Linked DNA regions of Saccharomyces cerevisiae S288C. The gene in region 2 interacts genetically with the main gene of each other region. Each region holds a gene or a part of one and is shown on either strand. Other genes may lie near its edges.

Evidence for each region.
Region 1: mutations in SWE1 (region 2) and FKS1 together harm fitness more than expected from each alone (negative genetic interaction), as found in Saccharomyces cerevisiae (4 studies listed by BioGRID, with this or other methods).
Region 3: of SWE1 (region 2) and ZDS1, changing one suppresses a phenotype caused by changing the other (phenotypic suppression), as found in Saccharomyces cerevisiae (3 studies listed by BioGRID, with this or other methods).
Region 4: of SWE1 (region 2) and RTS1, changing one suppresses a phenotype caused by changing the other (phenotypic suppression), as found in Saccharomyces cerevisiae (3 studies listed by BioGRID, with this or other methods).

The regions. Positions count from the first base shown.
Region 1 is NC_001144.5:807,027-816,832, reverse strand, and holds FKS1 (1,3-beta-D-glucan synthase), read right to left. Parts: upstream 6,837-9,806; coding exon 1,206-6,836; downstream 1-1,205. Other genes in the region: GAS2 (1,3-beta-glucanosyltransferase), read right to left, coding at 1-739; YLR342W-A (uncharacterized protein), read right to left, coding at 850-1,023; SPO77 (Spo77p), read right to left, coding at 8,015-9,448. UniProt on the Saccharomyces cerevisiae protein: Alternate catalytic subunit of the 1,3-beta-glucan synthase (GS) complex. Synthesizes 1,3-beta-glucan, a major structural component of the yeast cell wall. Involved in cell wall synthesis, maintenance and remodeling.
Region 2 is NC_001142.9:75,071-81,772, forward strand, and holds SWE1 (tyrosine protein kinase SWE1), read right to left. Parts: upstream 4,193-6,702; coding exon 1,733-4,192; downstream 1-1,732. Other genes in the region: 40S ribosomal protein uS8 RPS22A, read right to left, coding at 1-232; 60S ribosomal protein eL39 RPL39, read left to right, coding at 863-868, 1,255-1,404; alpha-1,2-mannosyltransferase MNN5, read left to right, coding at 5,085-6,702. UniProt on the Saccharomyces cerevisiae protein: Protein kinase that acts as a negative regulator of entry into mitosis (G2 to M transition) by phosphorylating and inhibiting the mitosis-promoting cyclin B-bound CDC28 at 'Tyr-19'.
Region 3 is NC_001145.3:809,623-816,560, reverse strand, and holds ZDS1 (Zds1p), read left to right. Parts: upstream 1-2,580; coding exon 2,581-5,328; downstream 5,329-6,938. Other genes in the region: ubiquitin-ubiquitin ligase BUL1, read left to right, coding at 1-910; RCE1 (CAAX prenyl protease), read left to right, coding at 1,250-2,197; YMR272W-B (uncharacterized protein), read right to left, coding at 5,365-5,472; SCS7 (fatty acid alpha-hydroxylase), read left to right, coding at 5,784-6,938. UniProt on the Saccharomyces cerevisiae protein: Has a role in establishing cell polarity. Together with cAMP-dependent protein kinase regulatory subunit BCY1, provides a negative feedback control on the cell wall integrity-signaling pathway by acting as a negative regulator of MAP kinase SLT2/MPK1.
Region 4 is NC_001147.6:354,571-361,427, reverse strand, and holds RTS1 (protein phosphatase 2A regulatory subunit RTS1), read right to left. Parts: upstream 3,755-6,857; coding exon 1,481-3,754; downstream 1-1,480. Other genes in the region: PET127 (Pet127p), read right to left, coding at 1-16; ERP4 (Erp4p), read left to right, coding at 344-967; YOR015W (uncharacterized protein), read right to left, coding at 1,076-1,435; YOR012W (uncharacterized protein), read right to left, coding at 4,472-4,885; YOR011W-A (uncharacterized protein), read right to left, coding at 5,570-5,776. UniProt on the Saccharomyces cerevisiae protein: The B regulatory subunit might modulate substrate selectivity and catalytic activity, and might also direct the localization of the catalytic enzyme to a particular subcellular compartment. Multicopy suppressor of ROX3 and HSP60.

The DNA.
Region 1 (9,806 bases), on a different chromosome or scaffold from region 2:
ACCATTCGTACATATTTATCCCATAGAAATCAGCTTTAACGTCTCCGCAAACGAAGTACCTTGCTAAATTGTCTCTTGTCATAGCATCGTCATTAGTTGAATAGCCGACAGGGATTTTTCTATGATTAGAATGCGAAATATACTCCTTGGCATCTCGGATTGCGGCCTTCACGAAGGGTGATGCAAAGGTATTTGTATGGTCATTTGTCACTTCATTCCCTGCAAAATACCCCAACAAATTTGGAAAGGATGACATTGCATCAATTACAGATTTGTACCTTTCAAAAATATGTACATCCCAAGATGGATTTTCTCTATTTATTGAAATATCAGGCTCTGAAAGATCTAATAGGACGTACATTCCTTCGGCAGATAGAGCTTCCATACATATATCATGTGATTTTGTCGGATCTATTGCATAAACACGCAGTGTGTTCACTCCTAGCATTTTCAAAAATGGAATATCTCTTAAGCATATTTTTGGGTCCGCTAAGGCATCAATATAACTTGTCTCAAAAGCCCCATTTGCATTGCTAAGCTCCTCTTCACTTCTCTGCAATTGGTAAGCAATGCCCTTGATGAAGAACTGTTCCCCACTCTCAGAGTCAAAGAATTTGTTTCCTACAATTTTAATAGCAGGGGTTTTTTCAAAGCTGACACCTGAAGAGCCATGAGACAATTGCAAACAAAGAAAAATAGCCACAATAATGGCTGCGTAAAAATTTTGTTTCTTGTTCATACTTAACTGAAAAGTTTCAAGTACCTCGAGTTAACGAATAGTAACGGATGTAGGTTGTTGAATGTTGTCTTTGTCTGACAATCTTCTCGTTGGGGCTCGCAACTATCTAGCTAAATTAATTCATTTACAATCAGAGTGACACAAATTTTTTCAGAATTACTGACACCGAAAGCTGCTCCGTTTTTTATAAATAGAGGCCGATACTGGTGAAAAAAACTAGACAAAAGACTGTTTATAATCACATAACTGTACAAAAAAACCCTTATTGGCATAAACACATTCATATACCTATAATATAAAACTAAATTAAAAAGACGCTTCCAAAAATAAGTAAAAAAGCATCAACATTAAAACAATCTAAACCAAAAACATCGAACGGTATTTGCAACATCTTGAGAGTTTCTGGTCTACTTGCTTTTGGATAGAATATCAGTAAAATCAAGCGTTCAAGCAAGTATTGATTGTATTATTTTATAGTTGACCAGGTCTTTAATGATGGCGTATGAGTATAGTAGTGACTTTGATAAGTTGACATTTGGGAACCAGTGTCATTATTGGTTGTATTTATTGGTTGGAATAGATTGTGAACAACGCCATCCAATGAATCTCCAATGTGTTTGTGGATCTTAGCAGAGGCTACAGCAGGACCAATAATGCATCCTGCAAAAATAGCCAATACTAAAAAGTACAAAGAGCAGTACTTCTTGACCATACGCTTACGCAAACGAGTTTGCTTCAGAGAGTAAATTGGGGGACGAATTTGACGAGAGGGCTTTAGCCAGAATAGCATAATCGAGTGGAATTTATCTATTTTTGGGATTATAATGAGTGGCAGTTGACAGATTAAAATCACATGACCTAGAACAAAATCAGCTGCAAATTCTGAAAGCTCAATTACCTTGGCGGTTAATTCTCTACTTGGCTGGGTCCAAGCCATGTAACCCATACCTTTACCATACCACTTACCAGTCCAGAAGGCTGTATTGGCATGATCGTTTTTAAATTCACGAGTCAACATTAACGCTGTCATGCAATGAAAAATGAGTCTTTGACATTGGATACAAGTAACGACTCCGATTAACATTCTAACAAAGTTGAAGCTCTCCAAAACCCACATGACAATGAAAAAGGCAATGTGGACAATAACAGCAACACCGTGGGCAATTCCAGCCATTACAGAACCTGTCTTCTTACAACACATACCAAATAAGGGACCAGAGCAGCATGACATACCCATACAGAAGAATAGAACACCGAGGTTAACGGCGATTGGCGCCAAGGTACAAATGATGATACGTAAAACAGAATTCACCCTATCATCATCAGTAGTCTTGACACCGGTTTGAGCATTAATAAACGTGAAGGCAATAAAACAACCAGCTGCATAAATTGCACAGGGTATGATTTCAGCCATGATCAAATTGGTTCTATGAGCCCTGCTTGCGTCACCAGCAGCTTTCTCAGATTCATCGCCAACCAGTTTACGTTTAAACCCAGTAATACGTGCCCTAGACATCCTCACGTAACCAATCCACGAGTTTCTATGATATTGATTATTACCTCTTGATAACCATCTGATATAATCCCTGTAATCCAAAAAGAAATCTTCCCAAGCAAACTGATGTGGATTGAAAACGAAAGGCGCAAAAATTAATGAAGATAGAGAGGCCCAAAACCACAGTAGTGGAGCTTGCCAATGTGCGACAGTACCGAACAGCAACATTAACATTGATCTTGCACCCATGTAGATAGCAGATCCTGCAAATCTTGAATACAAAATTGAAAATGGTATACGAGAAGTTGCAAAACCACGACCGGTGGATATATAACGAGCACCACCAATTGCTAAATCACTTAATAACGCAGAAGAGTAGATTTGGCCCGCAAACACTTCGAACATAGGGGATAATGATAATAGGTGGCAGAAAAATCTTTGGGTGGCTTTCCATAGACCACGTTCAATTAGTTCTTGAACAACAATAGGAACGAAGGCAATCCAGAAAACAATGAAAATAGACAATGTATAACGTCTCACCCAATCAACCGCAGGTTGGAAGTTGTAACACCCAATTGGAACCAAAACATCTGTTTTTGGTTTGTTCCTATCGTAAATACACATAATAGATTCATGGGCCAAGGAAGATAAATTCACCAAAGTCAACATAAACATTTGCAAAGATAATTGAATGAACAAGTTGTTCAAATGGAAACCAGGATGGGCATAATAGAATGTTAGGAAACGGTCCACTGGTAATTGGGTACCCAGATAATAATATTCACGAGATAACATTTGTTCACCCATACCAGCACCAATCTTAGTAGTGAAATTTAGAATTGTACCGAAACCCAAATCTCTACCTTTACCACATTGATAATACTCACAATGCTTGATACGACCACCACGAAGCATAGCATTCATACCAGCATAAATATCTTCGTTTAAATGCAAACCCTTTTGTGCTTTGGAAACACCACCTCTAGTGGTCATAAACGTAGCATTAATGAAATCCGGATGACCATAATGCAATTTACCACCAATTTGAGATAAAGTACGCGCAAATAATGTACCAAAAGTTTGTTCTTTACCAGCGGCCACATCACCCAGCACACCAGAGTTTTCAGAGAAAATGTATTCTCTGGCACCAACAATAGCAACAGGATGATTAGTTGTTTGCTCCTCATACCTTAAACCGGGAGCATATGGATTAACTTGTTCAACGTTCAATTCCTCAAATTCAGCCAATACAGATCTAATCTTCAGACATTCTTCCAAGTAGTTATCTTGGTTGGCATCAATTAATTGAATGTATTCACCTCTGTAAAAAATCAAAGCATGGTTTTGGTTATCAGATTTACCGTCACCAAGAATTGGGTTACCAGATAATTGAACTCTAAACTTGGGACGTCTACGACCATTATCTAGAATTTCACAATGTCCATCAATCAAAGCGGAATAGATTCTTGGCTCCTCACCTTCAGTCAAAGGTGGCTCTTCATCCAAGTAGGCAATTTGTAAGTCTGGGTAAGCTCTCAACAAAAACTCAGCATTTTCCAGTTCATGTGGTTTGAATTTAGCCAATCTCTGCATAGAGACCAAAAATTTAAACTTTCTTCTTGCCATCTTTTCTAGCTCTCTTTCTAAGCCTTCAGCATTACCACCAAACATTTGAACAATTTCAGGATTTTCCACACGATACAGTAATTTGATAGCTCTTGAATAATTCATGAACCCTGAAATGGTACGATATAGAGTCTGCGACCTCAAAGAAGCCCAAATTCTCGTACGAAGTGTATATTCTGGAGCAGCAGATTTAAAACCAATACAATAAAATGGCAAATCATCGATTTGAGATTTCAAAGCATCTTCCTTTTCAGCTTCATTTTCATTTCCTTCATAGGCAGCGGTTTCTTCAGCCAAAATCTTAGTATCCTTAACAAAACATTCCCATTCAACGGGATGTAATTGTTTTAGATATTCTAAAAGAGTAACTCTAGAAAATTGGTCATCTTCACGAATAATTTCTCTTAATGACAGCAGAATTCTTTCCGCGTAGTGAGGAGTCAATACTGTGAACGTTGGCATGTTATCAACTGGAAGTGGTTCGGGAATTGGAGTAGACAAAGATTGAGCAAAGAAAGAAATACGACGCTCAGCCTCTGAATCCCTAGGGAAAAATTCAGTCTCAAAATTATTGTCATCTTGAGAAACAAAGAAGGTAGGAGCTCTCAAAGTTCTTTTACCTTCGATTTCAGATGGAACTTGATGATATAGTAATTTTTGTACATGGTCGATGGCTAAGAGATGTTCTCTGTACATTGAAATAATGATGGCATTCCATACTTGAGAAATCAAAACCTTTGGTTTGTATTTAATTTCCATATCAGTAGTAGCCAAAATCTTGGAGTATATTCTTTTTGGCAATCTTGTGAAGATATTTCTCCATGGTGTTAAGATAGAAATACCTAAATAGAAAGATTTCCCAACAGAGAAAATGGTATTCACAATAATGTACCATAAGTAGGTATCCAAGAAGAAAAGAATGAAGTCGGTAGCGATAACCAAACCTAAGACAATCTTGGGTTGCACTTTACAAAGTACCGCACCCCACCAGTATTCACCTGTACACCTCATTGCAGTGGTGGACAAAATTCTAATTGGATCTCTCAAAGATAAAACTAAAAAGTAGTACGATTCTGAATATTTGGCAGCAAAAACAGTAACCCAAACTAAATAGGACATCCATCTATCTAACCCATGTAGAGGGGCAAATGCAGCAGTGAATGTTTGAGATGCAACATAACGCCTTGTAGATTTTTTCATATATGACGTAAACAACCCCCCCAATGGCATAATGGAGAAGAATATGATGGTAGCAACCGCAACAAAGAACATAACAGCAGCAACAACGTGTGCAGCAGTGGAGTAGACTGTATCTTTGTCGTAAGCAAAAACAAAAATAATAGGACCCAAATTAATACCAAAGATGATGCATAAAAACCAGAATCTACGAGATAGATGTTGAGCACCAGCCCATTTTCTTGGAACGAATGACCATTCACACAAAGTAGCGACAATTTGAATCAAACTTGCGACAGTACCACCTAATGCGCAAGATGCCCACTTGTAAGCAGCCAAAGGTTGGTTGTCGACCAATTGTTGATAGTTATGAGTGTAAAATGTTGGTGAATTATATGCAAAGTACATCCAAAAAATGGAGATATGCATAACCCAAATACGGTTGAAGTTGGTGACCAAATGTAACCAAGTACGGGTCTCTTTATATGTTTTGAAGAATACATCATCCCAGACGACATCGCCTAATCTTAAATAACGTTCTTCCAATGGGAGTTCTATCAATTTTGTTCCATCTTCAAGAACAATCTTTGCAATACCTTCTGGATACCAGAACAATTGGTTTAAATCATCATAACCGACAATTTTGTTATGATCTCTTTCACGCTTGACAAAACGACCATCAACAATTTCATAAACTTGATTTCTGATGAAATGATAAATTGGCGTAATGACTCTATTCAAGAAATCACCTTCTGGCATAGGTTCTTGGCGTTGTTGGCAAAGAGGGGAATCCAAGTAGTCAAGAGCACACTTGTAGATAAAACATAAACATTCAGCAGTGAATCTGACTTGATTAGCTTCACCCCAACATAACAGATATAAGGCGATATGACGAACTCTTTCCAGGGGAGACAACTGGTTCATCTTGGCCTTCCATCTAAAATCAGCAGCCTCTAGGGAGTTGTCGCCTTCAATTTTGTTTAAAGTTTCTTCAGTGTCTTCGGGATTGGCCTCTTCCATTGCTTTCTTGTTTTTCTTCTTAGCTTTTCTTGCCTTCCTTGAGAGTTTTCCAAGACTCATATTTCTAAAACCAATTTCATCATCCATATCTAACTGAGCAGCAAAATACCATTTTTTATAGTTAGCAGTATCGCCACCAATGTAGTCGGCATGTAAAGATAGTAAAGCTTGATCAGGAGACATTCTCGAGGACCTAGAGTCCAAGAGAACCATAAAATGATCAAACATATTTCTCATGGAGTCTCTTTGGAACCCGAGTCTGTTGGTCAAATCAATAAAGATATCTTCGATTTGCTCGATCGAAACGGGAGATTGAGAGTCAGCAGTCCAAGCGGGATAAGGTTCATTTGGCAAAGCCATAGCGATAGCATTTGGGTCATAATTACCGTAAATTGGAGTCGAGGTACCCGACGAATTTGGTTCTCCATAACTCATTTGAGAAGCGGTATACTGACCACCATAGCTATCATATCCAGGTGTTCCAGGAGGGCCGTAACTGCTAAAATCCGAGAAGTTTTCACCGTCTTGAGCAGCCATATTTGGCGGTTGACCATAGTATTCACCGTTTGTGTAGTCTTGGTCGTAAGACTCGTTTGGTGGTTGTTGACCATACATATCAGCTTCAGTACCAGCAGCGACATTTGGATCGTAGTAACCATCAGCTTGTGAAGGATACAAAGGCTGGCCATATTGGTCATAGTCTTGTTCCTGACTTTGCCCGTTACCTGGTCCCTGGGTATAGTCCGTTTGGCCCTGATAAGGTTGTTGATCAGTGTTCATGGTCTGACCGTTGTATGAAAGACTTGATTTCAGCTACTTGCTTATTTTAATTTTTTTGAGCGAACGTAAGAGAGGTTAATGTCCTCTAACTATCAGTCCAATGACAGTATTTTCTCCTTCTCACAAACTACAATAAATATCTACCAATCTCTTTTCGAATAAGGACTAATGATATACGCTAGTTCCTGTTTGGTAAATGAAGGCTAGTGTTCGAGAATGGAGAACTTCGTAGTCGGTTAAAACAGCTGTAGTGTTCTGGCCTTCTTAGAAAGAATAAATAGTTCAGGAGTAAAATCAAAATATCTTTTAATATAAACTAAGACAAAGAAAGAAACAAGAATTTTGATCTGAAAAAATCGAAAAAAAGGAACGAATGGATCGATGAAAATTTTCGAGACTAGGTTATAATTATTTCTTTTTTTAGATTTGTGCGCGTAAAAAACGGAACCAGAAGAAGCCAAAAAAAAAAGAAATTCTTCCTGTGCTTCATCAAAACGCGAAAATTCGTCGCCCAGTAAGTGAGACTATTTCCTATAATAGAAATCCAAGTGGCAAAAGCGTTAGACGCAGTACAAGGACGCGTTAAGAAAAATTTCGAGAGAGTCGCCGATAGTAGGATTAGAGTTTCATAACGCGTTACACGGAAGGAGAGCAGTAAGGAGGGCCCGATACAGAAAAAAAAATGGCGCTTGTTACAGATTCTGATTGCCCGTACATGACATGGTCTTTCTTTTCTTTTTCGTTAATATTTCTGCTTTTTCATGTGTGTCGAAAATAGTTAGCTCGATAAGATACTGTGATAGGCAAAAAGAAAGTTTGTCCTTCCGCATCGGTGCTGTCCCTCCTTAGCTGAGGGTTCGGTGTACCTGTGCTTTTTCGGAACCAGTTCTTGGCCCGCTAAAAATCGCTACGTCCATCCCTTTGTCTTAGTCAAGCACGAAGGAATTCGAAGTTTATCGTAATTTTGCTTTGTTCTGGTCCCTTGGTTTTCTCTTTTTGCATAAATCTGGCAGTATCGTAAAATGTGATTTGCACAAACCAATGCACAGAGGAGAGTTGAAGTACAGATAGAATGCGTTTACGACATTACTTAGGCCTTTCCAGGGCGCGAAAAGACAAAATATGGATTGCCCTTGCTAATTGTGTAGATGTTTGCATGCCGCGGTTTTATCGCTGCGTCACATATGGGATTTTGATTGATTCAAAGCCTTGATATTATCAATAAATGGTTCAATCACATCCCATTTATTGAATTGGAGGCCTTCTTCGTCCTCTTCTGTACTTGAAGTGATTGATTCAGATTCTGCGTTTGAGGACTCTCTTTGTTGGCTTTGCTTCATATCTTGAACAGTTCCGTTGCACCAAGCGCTCAAGAGTTGTTGCCGTTTTCCTTCATTGTTCTTTAACCAGAGTTGAATAATTTCATCAATTCCCAAAAATAACTGCGGAATCTGGTGCTCAAAGACAATTTTTATGAGAATTTCAATAAATGACAAAAATACTTCATCGGAAAATTTTTCTAAAAAATTGACAGAATACATGAACTTAACGATCAAGATAAAGCATTTTTGAATCTCTAAAACAATCGTTGAAAATACTCTACTGAAAAGAACGTAGTTGATAATAGTGTTTCTATTGTGGCATTGATCTTGTTCTTTTAGCTCGATTCCGAATTTGAAAGTTTCCAAAATAGAATTGGAAAAATGCTTCAAACGGCACATTATGTCCACTATATTTGTGGAGGGATACTGACCCTTTAGCTTGCAAATTATGTACTTGTCATTGTAGCATTTCAAATCTGCATCAAACATTTGTAATAAGTTTATGTTCTTTATCAACGTTTCGACCCAAATATCGTGCACAATGAACTCAATTGTGTTAATGAAAGTAGATTTTTCGAAAGCCTCATCAGAAGAGTCGGCCAAGAGTTCAATGTCTTCAAAAAAGTTTAATAACACCACGCAGTTCGGAAGTATTAGTTCTACCAAATTTTCTTCGGGATTATCTTTGCTTACTCGAAAGTCATAGAGCGTATTGAATAGTTTTTTGTTTATTTCATTTAGAGTCAACGAACATTTTTCAAGGGTGGCACCAGATAATAACTCAGCATAAGGGACATTATCGTCAAAACTAAATTCTATCACGTCTTCATCTGCAGTATTTAGCATAAAAGTTGCTGAGTTTGAACGAAGACTATCAATGTTTCCATTTTTTTTTGAAAATTTTGACTCCGCTATATGGTTACAGTCAATACTCTGGGTATATTTACCACTCGAAGCTGGGTCATTACTGTTGTTAATTTGGTAGTTTAAATTAGAAGAATTATCATCTTGAATTCTATCCCACTTTCCTTCTTTCTCATCGATCCTTATCGGAACTGCGTCAGTTCCAAACTGGCTTCTGATAGTTTCTGCATTACCGCGATGGAGCTGTTCGCTTTTATGGTGCCCTGAATTGTTTTTTGATGTGAATAAAGAATCATCTAATGGAAAAAAACCTATACTACTCTTTTTTTTTGAAGGTACATTATCTTTTACGGTATATTCGTATTCCAAAGGAAGAAAGAAGCTATTTTGTACGTTAAAATTTGAATTATCTCCCCTTCGAAACATATTCTACTTCTATTGATCTCTTAAGGAACATAGAAATACTGCAAGATAGGTTTTTTTTTTTATGGGAGCTTCTGCTCACCTCTCATCGAAGCAGTAGTTTCGTCTTTTACTTTTCTTCATTATTTCCTCGCAGCTATTTTTGATTTTGTGACATTTCTTATATCCGACGTCTTGAAAGAATCAAGCGATAGTAGAGAAAAAGACAACTTTTGGTATTCTCAGTATTTCAATAAGCATATAAAGGATAAAAACCTTTGTTCAGAGACAAGCGTAAATTGGGAAGATAGTATAGCTACTTTCTCTCATCAAATCATGAACTTTGAAATAGTCCGTATGAACTAGAAAACCAAACTACATT
Region 2 (6,702 bases):
TTGGGGAAATAACACCACACTTGTTCAATCTACCGTTCAATTGAACAACAATCTTACCAGATCTGTGGTCATCGATGTATTCAAATTCACCAATGTAACCGTGCTTTTGCATAACTTGCAAAAACTTGATAATGACCTTGGAGGATGGTCTGATTAAAACTTGACGCTTACCGGTCTTTTCAGCGTTGTTAATGGCATTCAAAGCATCAGCTAAAACGGAAGATCTGGTCATCTTGGATATGTATGTTGGTCTTGTTTTATAAAAAATACTAGAACTGAAAGGCCATTAAAAAACCTTACAATTTAAGAATTGAATAGTCGATTAAGATTATTTAGATTGAAATTGACTAACTGCAAACCCATATTCAAGAATTATTTCACATCTTCCAGCGAGTAAACATGCCGCTGGTAATCGCGCGTCCTCAATATTTGAGTTTTTCAAATAGTGAGGTGTGGATGTATAGAGGAATTACACACTTTTAAGTATGTGATGTATGGGCGCACAGTACCAATTTAACTTTTTTTTTTTTTCATTTTTTAGCTTGATTTTCAAAAAACTTATGGGCGTTTTAGGCTCCGGCTCAAACTACCACCACCACGCGGCAGGCCGAGGCAAACAGTACGCCTTGGCGGGGACGCCGAAGCGACTCCTTCTGTTCCAAGCTCAATGGTCCTTGCGTTTACGCTCGCGCGTGGGCTAACTAACGCAATTCGGCTTTTGGGCTGTCGAGAACCGAGAATTATTCTTCGCCTTGATAGATACTTTAAAACTTCTACTTAATATACTTTCTACAATTTTTGGTACATTCATATTATACTGAAAATTCGAAAAAGACAAGCAAATAAACACAGATAGATCAACATGGCTGTATGTTAGAAAGATATTATAAATCCCAGTTAGATGCTGAACTGATCAATAGCAAATTATAAACCACATCCATCTAAATGACCTTACCACCTACAATTTGGATTTGAAATAGAAGCAATGTGTAAAATATAGGGAAAGGATTAGGAGTGTTAACCATACTAAAATTTTTCTTATCCGAAACAGAAATCTAAAGTCGCCACTACGCAGATTAAAATATGGTCATAAACTGCTTATTCTGAGAACTTTTGGTGGTCCAGCGTGGTTTATGTCAGGTGGTATTGCCTTGGATCCGTGAATGCATCACATTGATGAGTTTGAACATTGTTACTAACATTTTTTACAATTGTACACTTCGTATGTGCACGATATGTTTCCCTTTTAATTAGGCTCAAAAGTCTTTCAGAATCAAGCAAAAAATGGCTAAGGCTAAGAAGCAAAACAGACCATTGCCACAATGGATCAGATTGAGAACCAACAACACTATCCGTTACAACGCTAAGAGAAGAAACTGGAGAAGAACCAAGATGAACATCTAAGCGAAGAACATATTTATGCTTCAAACTTTTTGTCATTTGTCTTCCATCCTTCCCTTATTCTCAATATATATGTAATACGTCGTATTTGATATATATATATATATATATATAATATAATTTAACGGTTGTTATCTGCTACATCTGTAAAATAAAAATAAAAATGCTTGAAGCGGCTGTACTTAAAATAAACTCATCTAAGGTTTTACATGGTATTACTACCGGACTGCAATTACACTCTTTTTCGTTATTGGATTATTTATACAATGCGGCCCATAAGCACGTGTGGGAAAAAAGTATGTAAATAAAACAAGGTTTTTTGTTCCATTTATCATATAAAAAATTTTGGCTTAGGTCCAAAGTCGTCTTCCTGGATAATAGCACCTGCATTGCGTGTCATTTCTACATACAGGCATTCCTCAGTTTGTAAGATTTGATTTGCCGTGGGCCTTCTCTCATAATTGGGCTCTATCATCCATCGTACTATTCTCTCAAGTGATTCACCATCAATAAGAAATTTCGGTACCCATGCGGGAATTTTAGAACTTTTATGCAAAATAAGACGATTCTTGGTAGCGGCAGTATTGACATTATTATTATCGTTGCCATTATTCATATTAGGGTTGTTGATATTACTATTGTTATGAACAGTGGAGGTGCCAGCGTTGTTACTATTACCACTGATATTGTCTCTTTCAAAATCAAATAAATCATTTGTATCTACTTTCGTAATGTCTGAAAATAATGATTCAGAATGAATATCTGTGGAACTTAATCTTCCTGCATCCGATAAATCACCCGATCTCAACTTATGCCATGCGTTGCCATTGTCAGGTAACACAACGTTCGCTGCAATTTCAACAATCATCAGACCCAGGGAAAAAATATCTGCCTTGTAATCGTACGTACAATCAGAAATGATTTCTGGTGCAATATATTCTCTGTCACCTTCATTTTCAAAACTTTTATCCTCCAACGGTAAATGAGTAGCCATTCCAAAGTCACCTAGTTTTAGGTTACCTTCAAATGTGATCATGACGTTTGCGGGTTTCAAGTCCAGATGCACAATGTGACAAGAATCATGGATGAATCGTAAAGCCAGGCTTAATTCCACGATGATTTTCCAAATTCTCCAATCTTCCAACCTTTTTTTCTTTGCGATAACTTGCTCTTGTAAAAATCCATCCAAATTACCATTTTCGCACAATTCTGTCATAATATAGTATGAATTTTGAAACTTCCAGGAACTGATGTAATCGATGATGTATTCCTTCCCTTCTTGATCCATTGTAATTTGGTTTGTTACCTCGTTTAGTATTTTAATTTCCAGTAATATGCGTTTCAAGGAATTATATTTGTTTGGTTTAATGGCTTTGATTGCATACTTTTTGTTTGTTTGGGCAAACGTAACCTGGTAGACCGTGGAAAACTGGCCTTTACCAATGGAATGCACATTCGTAAATTTTTCGAAAAGATGGGAATCTGGATTTGCTGATAACTTATTTGAAGAGATTAGACGCCTTTTGGAATTTAACGGCGAAGAATCGGTGGAAGATATGGAATGCGTCTCTGCACTTGTTGTGTTTGTCACGATGGCAGAGGAGAGTGACAATGGTCTGCTTTCTCTATGTGTTTGAGATGTTGCCCCAATAATAGATTTTCGTCTTGTTGGAGTGGAGATCTCTTCGTCAGTGTCATTGTCATAGCGTCCACGAAATTGATAAGGTTGAGGGTTCTTTCTAGTTGAATGATGACTTGATATTATGATTGGAGGTGGGAAATTCTCGTCCGTGCCGTATAAATCATCTTTGAATTGTTGTAAACTGTTTGTTAGCTCTCTATTTTTCAAAATAACCGAATTCCTTGCTCTTTTGATTTTTTTGAACTTGTTAGAATGCAATGTTTGTGGAGAGCTGTTGGTAACCAAGCTATTAGTGGGAGACAGGATGTTTGTCTGGTTATTGTGACGATCATGTGCATGATATTTTGCCTCGCTCAGTGGGGATGAGTCTATGGTTGGTACATGGATGGAAGGTAAAGCTTTCGAAGACGGAGAATCTGAAAATAAAAGGTCTTCTTGTAAATTATTGTCTTCAACAAAATTTAAAGGGGAAACACTTAGAGAAGACGATGCATTTTTCGAACTCGAAAGGTGGACATGCTTATGGTCTCTTCCCTCCACTAAGGGTGATTTTTTCACTGGTGTTTCTGGTATCCTCAATTTCGCAGGGTATAACGAAGTGTCCATAGACATTTTAGATACGAGGCCCGAAGACGTAAAGGCTGATTGGTTAGGTTTAGCGACGCTATATGAAGAGGATGAGGATGTATTTTCAGTGCGAGCATCATTTTTCGGAAACCATCGCTGGTTCCATTGTTTGAGAGAAATAGGACTGTTCGTTTTTTCCGCAGATCTTTTTGTAATAGGAGTAGTAACACTTTCATTTTCATGGAACGGAGACCACCTTTTAATACGAGAATCCACGCTTTCCTCATCCTTGCCTTCTTCCTCCTCTTCTTCCTCTTCTTCAATTTTCCCAAGAAATTTGGAGTTAGCCTCTGACAAAGCTGTATTACTTAATGACAGGTTCAAGGTCCCCGTACTTCTTGTCAATTTGTTGTTCGAATATGGATAAAATTTCAGTTTATTGGTCGGGGTGCTACCCCCTATAGCAAAATCATCACTCTCGTCTTCGCCGGCCTGTTTGCCAAACATCTTCTTCCCCATAAACTGGAGGTTCTCCGTGTCCAGCATTTCGAAGTCCTCTTCATCCTCGTCCAAAGAACTCATCTGTTCTCGTGTGCGCCTGTGTGTGTTTACTTTTCCCCAGCACTACGCAATCAAAAATAGTAAGACCTGTTCAGTAGTAATCCTTTTTTTATTGGACTAACTGCGCAAGATGATGTGCAGGATAGTTAACACACGCATACATACAAAAAAGAGCCTCTTGGACAACCTTTACTTAATACACAGGGGCACGCCAATGTTCAACTGTGTTGTTGATTTCTTATCCAGCATTCTTTTACTTCTCTGCATTTTTTTCGCGTCGCGTCGCAAATTGTGATGGTTAAAAGAAAAATGAAAAAATATTTTTCGCGTCGTTATCACCCGGAGGAATAAAAAAAAGAAACATACACATCACGTGACCACAAGAATGTTAGAAAGGCTTACCAGTACTAGAGACGTTAATAAATTGCGAATAGCCCCCTATCTCCCACATGTTGGCATCTGTGAGGTGGAACCTATTTAAAGGTGCCACATTTCTTTCCTTAGAGGACGATGGTTGCAAGATCAGCACAAATCCATAGTTTGATGCATGGAAAGCGAAGCACTCTAACAGAAGTAAGATAATAAACAATCTCACGATTCTACTGATTTAAGTGCAACTAGCTCTTGGGCTTCTTTTGGTTGCCAAGTCGGAATAGACGACAGATGCATGTTTCGGTGCAGAGTTCAGAGAGATAAGTGCCTTCTTTTATCTTTTTCCCCGTTCTTGCGGATTTTTTTTTTCACTTTCTCATCGGCGGGGAAAAAAAAGTGTAACAACTAAAGGATCAACACGGCTTTAAAGTGTTTTATATATACGCAGATATGAAAAAAGCATTTTCACGGTTATTGGAAATTTTTATTTTACGACTGGTTCCTAGCACAACAAGAGGATATACTAATAGTTCAGGTTACAATGCTGATTAGGTTAAAGAAGAGAAAAATCCTGCAGGTCATCGTGAGCGCAGTAGTGCTAATTTTATTTTTTTGTTCTGTGCATAATGATGTGTCTTCTAGTTGGTTATACGGTAAAAAGCTTAGATTGCCGGTTCTAACAAGGTCGAACCTTAAAAACAATTTTTACACAACACTGGTACAAGCCATCGTGGAAAACAAGCCGGCAGATTCGTCTCCGGACTTGAGTAAGTTGCATGGGGCGGAAGGGTGTAGCTTTGCAAATAACGTTGCTGCACACGACTCTGGACACGATAGTGACTTAAGTTACGAGAGCTTGAGTAAATGCTATAATTTGAATAAAACAGTACAAGAAAGCCTACGAGAAGTGCACAGTAAGTTTACAGACACCTTATCAGGGAAACTGAATTTTTCCATCCCACAAAGAGAGGCACTTTTCTCAGGTTCTGAGGGCATTGTCACCATTGGAGGTGGAAAGTATTCTGTGCTCGCGTATACGATGATCAAAAAGTTGAGGGACACGGGTACTACATTGCCTATTGAAGTCATCATTCCGCCTCAGGACGAAGGCGAGGATGATTTTTGTAAGAACTGGTTGCCGAAATTCAATGGTAAGTGCATTTATTTCTCAGATATCGTTCCTTCAAAGCCATTAAGCGATTTAAAACTCACGCACTTCCAGTTGAAAGTCTTTGGGTTGATAATTTCCAGTTTCAAGCGTATTATCTTCTTGGACGCAGATAACTATGCGGTGAAAAACCTTGACCTTGCTTTTAACACTACATCCTTCAACGATACTGGCCTGATATTGTGGCCCGATTTTTGGAGACGTGTCACCCCTCCCGCCTTTTACAACATTATAGGATCTAGCATTAACATCGGCAAAAGAGTCCGTTTTGTTAGTGACGATATTTCCCCCGTGTCACGTTATGATCCATTTGTTAGTAACTCAAACGATTACACTCCAAAGGAGAGACAGGAGCATTTCCTGAAACATGTTCCCTTACATGATCTGGACGGCACGATGCCAGACTTGAGCTCTGAATCAGGCCAGATGGTGATTGATAAGATTCGCCATTTCAACACTCTATTACTGGCGCTATACTATAATGTTTATGGGCCTACCTGGTATTATAAGATGATTTCTCAAGGCACTGCCGGTGAAGGTGACAAAGACACTTTCGTCGCTGCTGCCCATGCCTTGAATATGCCATACTATCAAGTGAGGACTAACTTTGAATTTGATGGTTTCTTCTATCAAAAAGATGATTACAAGGGTCTCGCCTTGCTCCAGCATGATTTTGAACAAGATTACAAGCAATACCAAAAGGCGCAGCAGAAAGTTAAAGCCAACATTGAGGAATTTTCCAAACTGGATCCAGATTATACTTTGGACAATGGTTTCTTGAAAACTTTGATGGTTAATGATGACGGTTCTGATTTGGATATCATGTTCATTCATGCCAGTTTCTACAAGGCAGATCCATGGACTCTTTATCATGAAAACAGATTTATCGGTCCAAATGGCGAACAAGTACGGGGCTTCAGGAAGCCGCATCGCTATGGAATGGATTTTGAATTGTTTTTATTCAATGATATGAGGGGGTCCTTCTGTACCA
Region 3 (6,938 bases), on a different chromosome or scaffold from region 2:
TCCCTCATTATTGAGAAAGACCAATGTTTTTGAATCTAAGAGTAAACACGACCAAGAAAATTGGGTGAGATTGTCTGAGTTGATTCCGGAAGACGTAAAAAAACCATTGGAAAAACTTGATTTACAATTGACTTGCATAGAATCCGATAATAGCTTACCTCATGATCCGCCAGAAATTCAATCGATTACCACAGAACTGATATGTATAACTGCTAAATCTGATAATTCTATCCCAATAAAACTCAATTCTGAACTGTTGATGAACAAAGAGAAGCTGACAAGCATCAAAGCTTTGTACGATGATTTCCATTCAAAAATTTGTGAATATGAAACCAAGTTCAACAAGAATTTTCTTGAATTAAATGAGTTATATAATATGAATAGGGGAGACCGTAGGCCAAAGGAACTGAAATTTACAGATTTTATTACTTCACAGCTGTTTAACGATATCGAAAGCATTTGCAACTTGAAAGTTAGTGTTCACAACTTATCCAACATTTTTAAAAAACAGGTCAGTACCCTAAAACAACACTCAAAGCACGCATTATCTGAGGATTCAATATCGCACACAGGTAACGGTAGTTCATCGTCGCCCAGTTCAGCGTCATTAACGCCAGTAACTTCTTCATCCAAGAGTAGTTTATTTTTACCTAGCGGTAGCTCGTCTACTTCCCTGAAATTTACAGACCAGATTGTTCATAAATGGGTTAGGATTGCTCCTTTACAGTACAAACGAGACATTAATGTGAACTTGGAATTTAATAAGGACATTAAGGAAACTTTAATTCCAAGTTTTGAAAGCTGCCTATGTTGTAGGTTTTATTGCGTTCGAGTAATGATTAAATTTGAAAACCATCTTGGCGTAGCGAAGATTGATATCCCTATTTCTGTTAGGCAAGTGACAAAATAAAAAAACATTAGAAAAAATTCTCGTTACTTTTCTTATAGATATAGATATATGTATGGTTTGCTTATAGATGAAGGTATTTATCGCGTCCTTTGTATTCCCTATTATTAATAAAATTCTTTTAAAATGCATTTTCTGGTGCTCTTTTGTTGCTTCTGTATTTTTTTTTTTTTGGACCACTGGATGGAAAACCTTTGATGATTTTATTACCTTTATTTTAAGTTACTAAAATATCGAGATTTCAGGAACAAAACATAGAATTTTCTTTGTCAAGAAAAATAAAACGAAATAAATTGATGCTTTGACTACTGACTGTCTGTCATAGAGAGAACCAGAACAGCAATGCTACAATTCTCAACATTTCTAGTGCTCCTATACATCTCCATATCCTATGTGCTACCGCTATATGCAACTTCACAACCAGAAGGGTCTAAACGAGATAATCCTCGAACGATTAAATCTCGCATGCAAAAACTTACAATTATGCTAATTTCCAACCTTTTTTTGGTGCCTTTTTTACAATCTCAATTATCTAGTACCACTTCACATATAAGTTTCAAGGACGCATTTTTAGGCTTAGGTATTATCCCAGGTTATTACGCTGCATTGCCAAACCCTTGGCAATTCAGCCAGTTCGTGAAAGACTTAACGAAATGTGTTGCGATGTTATTGACCTTATATTGTGGACCCGTTTTAGATTTTGTATTATATCATTTATTAAATCCAAAGAGCTCTATACTTGAAGATTTTTACCATGAATTCCTGAATATTTGGAGTTTCAGGAATTTTATATTTGCACCAATAACTGAGGAAATATTTTACACGTCAATGCTTTTGACTACGTACTTAAACCTAATACCGCATTCGCAACTAAGCTATCAACAGTTATTTTGGCAACCATCGCTTTTTTTTGGACTTGCGCACGCACACCATGCTTATGAGCAATTACAGGAAGGCTCCATGACAACTGTTTCCATTCTGCTGACAACATGCTTCCAAATTTTATACACAACACTTTTTGGAGGGTTAACCAAGTTTGTATTCGTAAGAACAGGCGGGAACCTATGGTGCTGCATAATCCTGCATGCCCTTTGCAATATCATGGGGTTTCCTGGTCCTTCAAGATTGAATTTACATTTCACAGTAGTAGACAAGAAAGCTGGACGCATTTCCAAATTGGTCTCAATCTGGAATAAGTGCTACTTCGCACTGCTGGTCCTTGGATTAATATCCCTGAAGGATACCTTACAAACTCTGGTAGGAACTCCTGGTTATAGAATAACCCTTTAGCCTTTTTTACGTACTTGTATACCGTTTAAAATTTCCTATGTACTATAACCTTTTTTCACTACTATTATGGAATTCTATCGAGCGACCGGGCTTTTGTTACGGAAGAGTGAAAAAATCGAGTTTTGGTGTTTTGGTGAAAGAATTTGGAGGACTATAAAGTACCTATACTTTGTATTACGGACTCAATAACAAGTCGTTCGTGTCAGTGGTATTGAAGTTGTCAGATCTAAGAGTAGAGAGAAGGTGGCATCTAATAGGTTTCGACGTTTTTCTTTTTTTAAGGTTTTTATTTGGTCTCCTAGAATTTAAGGTCTTAGTTAGTTTTGGTTTGTTTTGTGGGTTACATATTTTCAATTCAAAGGAGAATTTAGCTGTCTTTTATAATGTCCAATAGAGATAACGAGAGCATGCTGCGTACTACATCAAGCGATAAGGCGATCGCTAGTCAAAGGGATAAACGGAAGTCTGAAGTTTTGATTGCTGCACAGTCCCTTGACAATGAAATCCGCAGCGTAAAAAACCTAAAAAGATTGTCGATTGGGTCAATGGATTTACTTATTGATCCAGAATTAGATATAAAATTCGGTGGGGAATCTAGTGGGAGACGATCATGGTCTGGCACGACATCCAGTTCTGCGTCAATGCCAAGTGACACAACCACCGTTAATAACACACGATATAGCGATCCAACTCCGCTAGAGAACTTGCATGGGAGGGGTAACTCAGGGATAGAATCCTCCAATAAGACTAAACAAGGTAACTACTTAGGTATAAAAAAAGGTGTTCACTCTCCATCCAGGAAATTAAATGCTAACGTATTAAAGAAAAACTTATTATGGGTTCCCGCCAATCAACACCCTAACGTTAAGCCTGATAATTTCCTAGAGCTTGTACAAGATACTTTACAAAATATACAACTAAGCGACAATGGTGAAGATAATGATGGGAATAGCAATGAAAATAACGATATTGAGGATAATGGGGAGGATAAAGAATCACAATCATATGAAAATAAGGAGAACAACACTATCAACTTGAACAGGGGGCTGTCAAGGCATGGAAACGCGTCACTAATACGAAGGCCTTCAACATTGCGGAGGTCATATACAGAGTTTGATGATAACGAAGATGACGATAATAAGGGAGACAGTGCCTCTGAAACAGTAAATAAAGTCGAAGAAAGAATCTCCAAAATAAAAGAGAGACCAGTGTCGTTAAGAGATATAACTGAAGAACTGACAAAGATCTCAAATAGTGCAGGACTAACCGACAATGATGCCATTACATTAGCCAGAACTCTTAGTATGGCTGGTTCATATTCAGATAAAAAAGATCAACCACAACCGGAAGGGCATTATGATGAAGGAGATATTGGTTTTTCAACTTCACAAGCGAATACTTTGGATGATGGTGAATTTGCCTCCAATATGCCCATCAATAATACCATGACATGGCCTGAACGATCGTCACTGAGAAGGAGTAGATTCAACACTTATCGAATCAGGTCACAAGAGCAAGAAAAAGAAGTAGAACAAAGTGTGGATGAAATGAAAAACGACGACGAAGAACGTCTAAAATTGACCAAGAATACAATAAAGGTCGAAATAGATCCGCACAAATCCCCTTTTAGACAGCAAGATGAGGATTCTGAGAATATGAGTTCGCCTGGGTCAATTGGTGATTTTCAAGACATTTATAATCATTACAGACAGTCTAGTGGCGAGTGGGAACAAGAAATGGGAATAGAGAAAGAAGCCGAAGAGGTACCCGTCAAGGTTCGAAATGACACAGTAGAACAAGACTTAGAGTTAAGAGAGGGAACAACAGACATGGTAAAGCCAAGCGCAACGGATGACAACAAAGAAACGAAGCGACATCGTCGAAGAAACGGATGGACATGGTTGAACAATAAAATGAGCAGAGAAGACGATAACGAAGAAAACCAAGGGGACGATGAAAATGAAGAAAACGTGGATTCACAAAGAATGGAGCTCGACAATTCCAAAAAACATTATATTTCTCTATTTAATGGCGGTGAGAAGACGGAGGTGTCAAATAAAGAAGAAATGAACAATTCAAGTACTTCCACCGCCACATCACAGACAAGACAGAAAATCGAGAAAACTTTTGCGAACCTATTCAGAAGAAAGCCACACCACAAGCATGATGCATCATCATCACCCTCGTCGTCACCATCATCGTCACCATCAATACCAAATAACGATGCCGTGCACGTTCGCGTGAGGAAAAGCAAAAAGCTTGGTAACAAAAGTGGAAGGGAGCCGGTTGAACCCATTGTGTTGCGCAATCGCCCTCGTCCTCACCGTCACCATCACAGCCGTCATGGTTCCCAAAAAATAAGCGTAAAAACCCTTAAAGATTCTCAGCCGCAGCAGCAGATACCATTACAACCACAATTGGAAGGCGCAATAGAGATAGAAAAGAAAGAGGAAAGCGATTCCGAGAGCTTGCCCCAACTACAGCCGGCCGTTAGTGTAAGTAGTACCAAAAGTAACTCTAGAGACAGAGAAGAAGAGGAGGCAAAGAAAAAGAACAAGAAGAGGAGCAATACGACAGAAATTTCCAACCAACAACACTCCAAACACGTCCAAAAGGAGAATACCGATGAGCAAAAAGCTCAACTACAAGCTCCAGCTCAAGAACAAGTCCAAACTTCAGTCCCAGTTCAAGCTTCAGCCCCAGTCCAAAATTCAGCCCCAGTCCAAACTTCAGCCCCAGTTGAAGCTTCAGCTCAAACTCAGGCTCCAGCGGCACCACCATTGAAACATACCTCCATATTGCCCCCAAGAAAGCTTACATTTGCAGACGTCAAAAAACCTGACAAACCAAACTCCCCGGTTCAATTCACAGACAGTGCCTTTGGGTTCCCACTGCCTTTGCTGACAGTGTCTACGGTTATCATGTTCGACCACCGTCTACCAATTAACGTCGAAAGGGCCATATACCGGCTGAGTCACTTGAAATTGAGCAATTCGAAGAGGGGACTGCGCGAGCAGGTATTACTAAGTAACTTCATGTATGCTTATCTGAACTTGGTTAATCACACTCTGTACATGGAGCAGGTAGCCCACGACAAAGAACAACAACAACAACAACAACAACAACCCTGAAAAGGCTTCAGCGCTGCATACATAGACATATACACATCACACGTACATACACGAAAAGATAGCTTTCATGCTCACAAAGCTACGTTCCCCACAGAATATTTCCCAGGACAACAGGGAAAGTTGGACAAACACCAAACTTCTCATAATACAATAGCCGAAAACAGTCTTGCTTTTGATAAAGAGAGCTTTCTGCGGCCGGAAGAAAATGTGCCTATTCCGCGGGGCCGTTCCGCGCAGAAACTACCGCACGACGTCGGAAATATAACGGGGTTTTGCGCGGATTTACTGACGTGTGACATCTTTTCGCAGTTAATTTTTTTTTCAATTTGGAACCGTATAAGAACAGAGGTATTAGATAGTAGAAGCTATTGTGTCTATTGTCTTTGATTAGTTTTTTTTTCTATTGTTATCGTGGCAGGCACTAAAAGCGGTGGTAAGCTAAAACTAGTACGAAGATGTCGACTAATACTTCCAAGACTTTGGAACTGTTTTCAAAAAAGACGGTACAAGAACACAATACTGCCAATGACTGCTGGGTCACTTATCAAAACAGAAAGATTTATGACGTGACCAGGTTTTTGAGCGAACACCCTGGTGGTGACGAGTCCATCTTGGACTATGCTGGTAAGGACATTACTGAGATCATGAAAGACTCAGATGTGCATGAACACAGCGACTCCGCGTATGAAATCCTTGAGGACGAATATTTGATTGGTTACTTGGCAACTGACGAAGAGGCAGCGAGATTGTTGACTAACAAGAACCATAAGGTTGAAGTGCAGTTGTCAGCTGACGGTACTGAGTTTGACTCCACTACTTTTGTAAAGGAGTTGCCCGCCGAGGAGAAACTAAGTATTGCTACGGACTACAGTAACGACTACAAAAAGCATAAATTTTTGGATCTGAACCGTCCTTTGCTGATGCAGATTCTGCGTAGTGATTTCAAGAAAGATTTTTACGTTGACCAAATCCATAGACCAAGACATTACGGTAAGGGGTCTGCCCCGCTATTTGGTAATTTCTTGGAACCATTAACTAAAACAGCTTGGTGGGTTGTTCCAGTTGCTTGGTTGCCTGTAGTTGTGTACCACATGGGTGTTGCTTTGAAGAACATGAACCAGCTATTTGCATGTTTCTTGTTCTGTGTCGGTGTCTTTGTTTGGACTTTGATTGAATACGGTCTTCACCGTTTCCTATTTCATTTCGATGATTGGTTACCTGAAAGTAACATCGCATTCGCCACACATTTTCTACTACATGGTTGCCATCATTACTTGCCCATGGACAAGTACCGTTTAGTTATGCCACCTACTCTGTTCGTCATCCTTTGTGCTCCATTTTACAAGTTGGTATTTGCTCTGCTGCCACTTTATTGGGCTTACGCTGGTTTTGCTGGCGGTCTTTTCGGTTATGTCTGTTATGACGAATGTCATTTCTTCTTGCACCACTCTAAATTGCCTCCCTTCATGCGTAAGTTGAAAAAATATCACCTGGAACATCATTATAAAAACTACCAACTGGGATTTGGCGTCACATCCTGGTTTTGGGACGAAGTTTTTGGCACCTACTTAGGCCCCGATGCCCCATTGTCCAAAATGAAATATGAATAA
Region 4 (6,857 bases), on a different chromosome or scaffold from region 2:
AGTTGTAGAACCCCATTATCAAAACTATAAAAGTATCAGGTAGCGTTTGGCTCTTTTTTGTGCTCTCTCAAGTGCCCTGTTTATATTATATTTTTACATATTTGTTTCTTTATTAACCAACGGCATTGACGGAAACGCGCTTTATTATGGACTACTTTTTTTTCACTGTTTCCTGTTTTTTGACGTGATATACTCAAAGATGAGCGATTGACGATCTGAGAATTCTATTTGGGAACTCTTCTCTGCTTTGAAGACATTTATTTCCCAGCTGCCTTTGAAGTAGTTTCACGAGCGCTAGTGAAGTTTTTTCATAAATATATATTCCCAATCATCGCTAGGAATTATGCGCGTTTTTACTTTGATTGCGATTTTGTTTAGTTCATCTTTGTTAACACATGCATTCTCCTCTAATTATGCTCCTGTAGGCATATCATTACCTGCTTTTACCAAAGAATGTCTTTACTATGATTTATCCTCTGATAAAGATGTCCTTGTGGTCAGTTACCAAGTTTTGACAGGTGGGAATTTCGAGATAGACTTCGATATTACCGCCCCTGATGGCTCTGTTATCGTCACTGAAAGACAAAAGAAGCATTCTGATTTTCTACTGAAGTCGTTTGGTATAGGTAAGTACACTTTCTGTTTGAGTAATAACTACGGCACTTCCCCAAAGAAAGTTGAAATCACCCTCGAAAAGGAAAAGGAAATTGTTTCTTCCCATGAAAGCAAAGAGGACATAATCGCAAACAACGCCATCGAGGAAATTGATAGGAACCTGAATAAGATCACCAAAACAATGGATTATTTAAGGGCTAGAGAATGGAGAAACATGTATACTGTGAGTTCTACTGAGTCAAGATTAACATGGCTCTCATTACTAATTATGGGGGTAATGGTTGGTATCAGTATAGTGCAGGCATTAATTATTCAGTTCTTTTTTACCAGTCGCCAAAAAAACTACGTATAGGTTGCTTTTCAAGCTCTTAAAATTGTTGGATCAGCTGTGCTAAGGGGAAGGCACTTTTTTGTATCATGATCCTATTTTTTTTGTTATTTAATTATTTATGACATACCTTTATACTTTAGTTTTCAAAAATCCAATAATAGATAGGCAAGGTTTACGGAAAAGAGTGGAGTGCAAAATAAATAGAGGAAAGGCAGAAGGAAGAAGGAAAGCGAAAAGAAAAACGAAGATATATTTGGAGAAAAGTATAGAAATAATAAAATGAAGACACATCGATTGAAGTATGCTCAAATGATGAGAAAAAGAGACCTTTATCTCAGGCCACAAACAACCATTGTCCAAGTGGCTTATCTTTGCTATAGTTTTGTTCGAATATTCGGGGATTCTATCTTTGGTTTCTTCAACAAGTTGACCCCATTTACCAGTTCTTTTTTGCTCTTCATATACTGCTGCTCTTTTGAAATGTGGCATGCCCTAAACTTCCTCACTTCTTCGAGCTTGTAATGAATTGCTGTTTCACTGTATCTCGCTGTCACAATCATTTTCGTTCTCTTCATTTAATGTGTTATTCTCACTTGCTGTGTTGAAACTGTTTCTTAATTCTGGGTTTTTGATTGTGTATTGGTCCTTATCATTGTTAATCCTTAGATTTTTTACATATTCTTCAAGTTTGCTCCAATTTTCTTCACGTTGCACCTTACGCTGTTGAGTTTCTTTTACACTTGATAAGTACAATGCATTACAGTTTTCGTACAATACTGGGTTTGTTTCCAGAAAAATTTTCAATGCCTTGAATGCCATAGCATGAATTGCCCTATTCCACGAACCAGAATTGATTGCTTGCTCAACAAGCATGTAAGGGTCTGAAATGCTATCTTCGCCATTTGCTGTATCTAGCTCTAACTGAGAAGTTAATTCATATAATGCAGGAAATATAATGGGTAGGATGACTTCGGCATTTTCGATACATAAGTTTAAGAAATATTCATTATTCCAATAACTTAAAACCTTTTCCGCCACTTGGAAATGTGGAGAAGAAATACACTTAGCTAATTGAACAAATAACGGAACTTCTACTTTAATAAATTCCAGCGGTTCGATCACTTCAAAAATATCCTCGATTTCATTTAGAAACATTATCTCTTTTGTGGAATTTATTTTTGGCCAATAACGCAGTAAGCCCATAACTACCTCTTCGGTTAATAAAGGATCTTTTTCGAGAAATTGAACGATACAGTAAGCCAACTGAGGGTGGTATAATGATAAACAACGGACCTTGTGTAATGGTATCAATATCCTCACCAAGAAAACCTTGTGCTCTTCCTTTAATGGAAGTGCAAATCCATTAATTATGGAACCCAAAATTTCTAACAATTCTGCCACACCGTTAAACTTCTCAGTCTCATAAATAAATTGCAAAAAAATATTATTCATCGACCGACGAATAAAGCTTCTTAATGATAAGAACTTCCCATATATTCTATGCAGTGTCGTTTTCAAACAGTCTCTTTCTCTGATATCTTCGCTATCAAATAATTCCAGTAACTTTAAAATAAAGTCCTGATCAATATATTGTTTAGCAATCTGATGATTGAAATCAGGACTTTCCACAAACCTTAAAAAGAATTCGTAAACAGCTTGCATATGAGGCCAGGCTAGTTCGTTAACAGGTTCATCTTCATCTGGGTCATAAATGTCACCAACTGGATTTACTGGTGGTGGAATAGGTCTAAACAGATTGATTTTGAACATGTTCACCACATGAGCGTACATCTCATTCGTGTAAGTGAACCTATTTGTTACAAGGAATTCTATTAGCTCATCTAAGGTGCTTCTTTTAATCTCTTTACCTTGAATGTCAAAACTTGGATCATTAAAGTCAAACATAGTGTTACACTGGTCAACTTTGGCAATGAACAAAGGGATTCTTTCTTCAGGAGAAACTTCATTAAAATTTGGCAATTTCGTTAATGGCGTATATCTAGATGGCTCGAATCTAGATGAAGAATGACGTTGGGGAGTCTTAATTAACTCTAAATCTGTGTCAGGGTTAAGTTTTGTGGGTGTTGGTAGTCTCTCAAATGAGTGTGATGATCTCGGAATGTCGATACTTTGTGAGGAGGCGTGGTTTGCATCCTGAGTATTACTAGTATTAATATTCATATTGTTATTATTACTATTACCATTTTCTACATCAGAAGAAACTGCTGTACCTGAAGCATTTGAAATGGGAGATGATGGAACAGCGGATACTGCCCCCAGCAAAGTAGGATGTGCATGATCTTCACCAGAAGTGCTTTTGTCGTCCTTAGTAACAGTGAGTACTGGAGTGGGGTTCATTATAGCGGCAGATGATGAAGAAGATCCTTGCTTTTGAGATTGTGATGGCTGTTGCGATTGTTTGGACTGTTCTTGTCCTTTTCTTGAACTTGTTTTCTTTGTGGAGCTTGAACCGGAGCGACTGACACTTGAACTTCTACTGCTACTGCTGCTGGAAGAAGGGGTCGTCGCTGTTTTTGTTTTTGATGTAGAGCTACTATGATGCTTCCCTTGCGAGGGAACACTACCAGATTGCTTGCCCTTCTCAGTTGTAGACTTTGATCCGGTACTGCTGGCAGAACTGTGAGTAGTCCCGTGGGAAGAGCTACTAGCCGAAGCGGGCTTCTTTGATGTGGATGAGGTAGTGGAACTTTTTTCTTTTTCCTTCTCTTTGTCCTTCTTTTTACTGCTTGAAGAAGAAGAAGACCCGGTGGTCTTCTTTATTAATCTTTGCTTGAAACCACGCATCATATTGAAAGTGGATGTTCGAAAATAGCACGTGCCTATTGATCTTAATAAGTAGAACTTTTATACAAAATAAAAAAGCCAGTTAAAGACGGTATTGAGGTGAACAGGTATATGGAGAAGGGTTTATATTTTTATCTAACAAAAAAAGGAAAAAAAAGCAAAATCGAGGGGGGAAGGAAATGAAACCCAAAATACTTACGGCGACGATGGTTTATCCTTGAAATGAAGAGTTTTCCAATGAAGAAACGAGACGTATTGACATGCCTACCAATTGAAGTGGAAAACAAAGCGTAGTTTCACATACTCTTTGATAATCAATTGTCTGATACTTTTTTTTTTCCTTTCTCGCAGCCGGGATAGGGGGTTGTGACCCGGCAAAAAATGTTGGTCTAAGTTTTATTGTTGCTATATGCTCCATACATACAATAAATGTCTATAAAATTTTTAGAAGAAAATCAGGCGTGAAAGATGGTGTCTGCATCTTTGTGGTAGAGCATCAAGTAGGCCGTGAATCCCTTCCCCTGCGGATCGGGTTCTCCTTTGGAGTTCACTTCTCCAACCCCGAACTGAAACACCAAATAGGTTTTGAAACCGAAATATTCGTACACAGATCTTGCGTGCTCCGAAATAGCCTCGAGAGCAAGGGCGCAATTGGCCTTGTCTGCTTTGGTTTTATATTTTTCGAGTATTTTTCTGACTGAACCTCTAATTTCGGGATGGCTAGGATCTTTTCCGATGGCATAAAGGTAGTAATAGTCCATTCCCAGAGGCATGACTTCGTGCTTCCTCACAGTCAAGTCGTGAAAAAAAAATCTTATTGAAAGACTCGTCGTCAGATAGTGTAGCAGGCAAGTGGCACCCAGGGCGGCTCCATATTGCGACTGCATCGAAATCATTTGCCTCAGCAATTTCACCATCCAAGTCATGGTAGCACGTCGTGTAGTAATGTATCATTGCATTTATTCTTGCCCTTGAAACTTTTTCAGTGATTGGGATATGGAAGAACTTTTTCATCAAGTAGTCATTTGCGTATGACTTTTCGAATGCCTTAAACAAAGTTTTCGAAGCCTTCTCTACATCGCTTGTCAAGTTTACCGCCAAAGAGGATTCTTCATTGATCGATGATGCTACCATTATCAAAACTATTGATTTGTTTTCAACGTTCTGATTAGTATTTTTGTCACTGCCTTTTTCTATTGTTTCTTTTTTTGCATTTCTTATAGTAACATAAAAAACACAGGAAAAAAAACGTCGTTTATTATATCAGGAGTAAAGGATTTCTGCCCAAAATGTCAGGAAAATTACGATATAAAACGTACTATAAGATAACAAGCGGCTGAATAATTTCTGAGGTCAGAACCATAAGGGTACTGAAATACTATGTGCTAGATTTTTTATTTATTTTCTTTTTCTGATTGATTATCGTTTGGTTAAAATCAGTATGATATTATATATGACTTGCTTTATAATATATCAAACCGACATAAAAAATTATCCTACTCAAAAAAGATCATGGTTGTCCCCGCGTTTCACTTCTGTTATACCATGCAAATTTTTATATCAAATGAGTAATTCTTTCATTTCTTTCGGGACCCTTTACGAAGTAGTTGTTATATCTCCACTGGCAAGGCCACGAACTGACAAAAAAGGCATGATATAAATTGTGAGAAATTGTGAGTTAATTTAATAATTATGCGACGAGATGATAGAAAGGTAAAGACGACTTTTTGAGCCGGATCTGTTTACGTCAGTAAATTCTCGCGCCCCAAGACGTTATGAGGCATAAAATTTATTGCGTTCAGTTTTCTAAAGAGCTCACTATCGGTGATAGAAATCTTTCTTTTTTATTATCTTCTTGTCAGTAGTAATGTATAAGCACCAATATTGAAATGTCCAATTTTTTCGGCTCTTCCCAAGAACTTCAAGAGAGCAGTAGTATGGAAGAAAGTATTGTGAATGATACACAAAACGGTTTAAATACTCCAATATTTCAAAATGAAAGAAATTGAAAACCGATTTTGCCATTAATAATGATTGCTTATTATCCTTTAGTGAAGAAGTTTGTATTGAACTTCAAAGCTGATTGAAAAATCATTATATTTGAACACGTCGTGAGAAGACATGTGTCCAAGTGCATAGTTATTTAAGGCTTCTACGCTGCTTTGTCCTTTTATTACACATTATAATGAGTCTTCAAGATATTTGACTCAGTATGTATAAGAGAATGCTTCCATTGAGATAGTAAGATGATACGTATTGTTACAATACTTGATAATAAGATGCGTTAAAATATTAGTTAAAATGTTAGCTAAAGTTGTACAATTATTCAAGTCGGTGGAACAATAACACTCATTTTATATTTAATTTGTAGGCTGGTTAAATTTAATAACACTTCTTAGGGCTCTATTTTTATGAACAGGACATCATATTATGTAGGCAATAACTTCCGAACTTCGTAATTGATTTAATTGATAATACGACCTATCGTGAATATGCTAAAAGTTCTTTTCGAGGATATAGAGATTCTCGAAGAGAGAGAGATATTCTAAATAACAATATACATATATATATATATATATATATATATATATATTCCTTTCTTGCTTCTTTTTTGTACATTATGTAACTATATTTCTTTCTCATTCCAAATATTCAAATGTACAGGTATTTAATACCGCCTCAATTGATTTAGCGGTATTTTATTTTCTAACAGCTTAGTTATAATACTAAATATACAAAATATATTAGAAGCTCTTTCTCAAGGATATAGGAACCTGCCAAGGAAACCCATATTTCCACATAATGTTACTATTATTATTTCTTCTATTTTTTATGTTGTCATTCATTATCCTATTACATTATTAAATCTTGCATTTCAGCTTCCATTAAATCAGATGACTGTTTTCAATCCTTTTTTATCTTTCTACTCCGTCTACCACAATATAATAGCTTATGAATACTCGCCGGTAGATTATAGTCGATTCTTATTCCAATAGTTTGTTCCTCCAATGACGTTATAACTAATCATAAAGCAATATAGCTAAATTAGGTACCTAATCTTAAAAGATTTTCAGATTTAAACTAATCCTTGTTGCCTATCTTAATT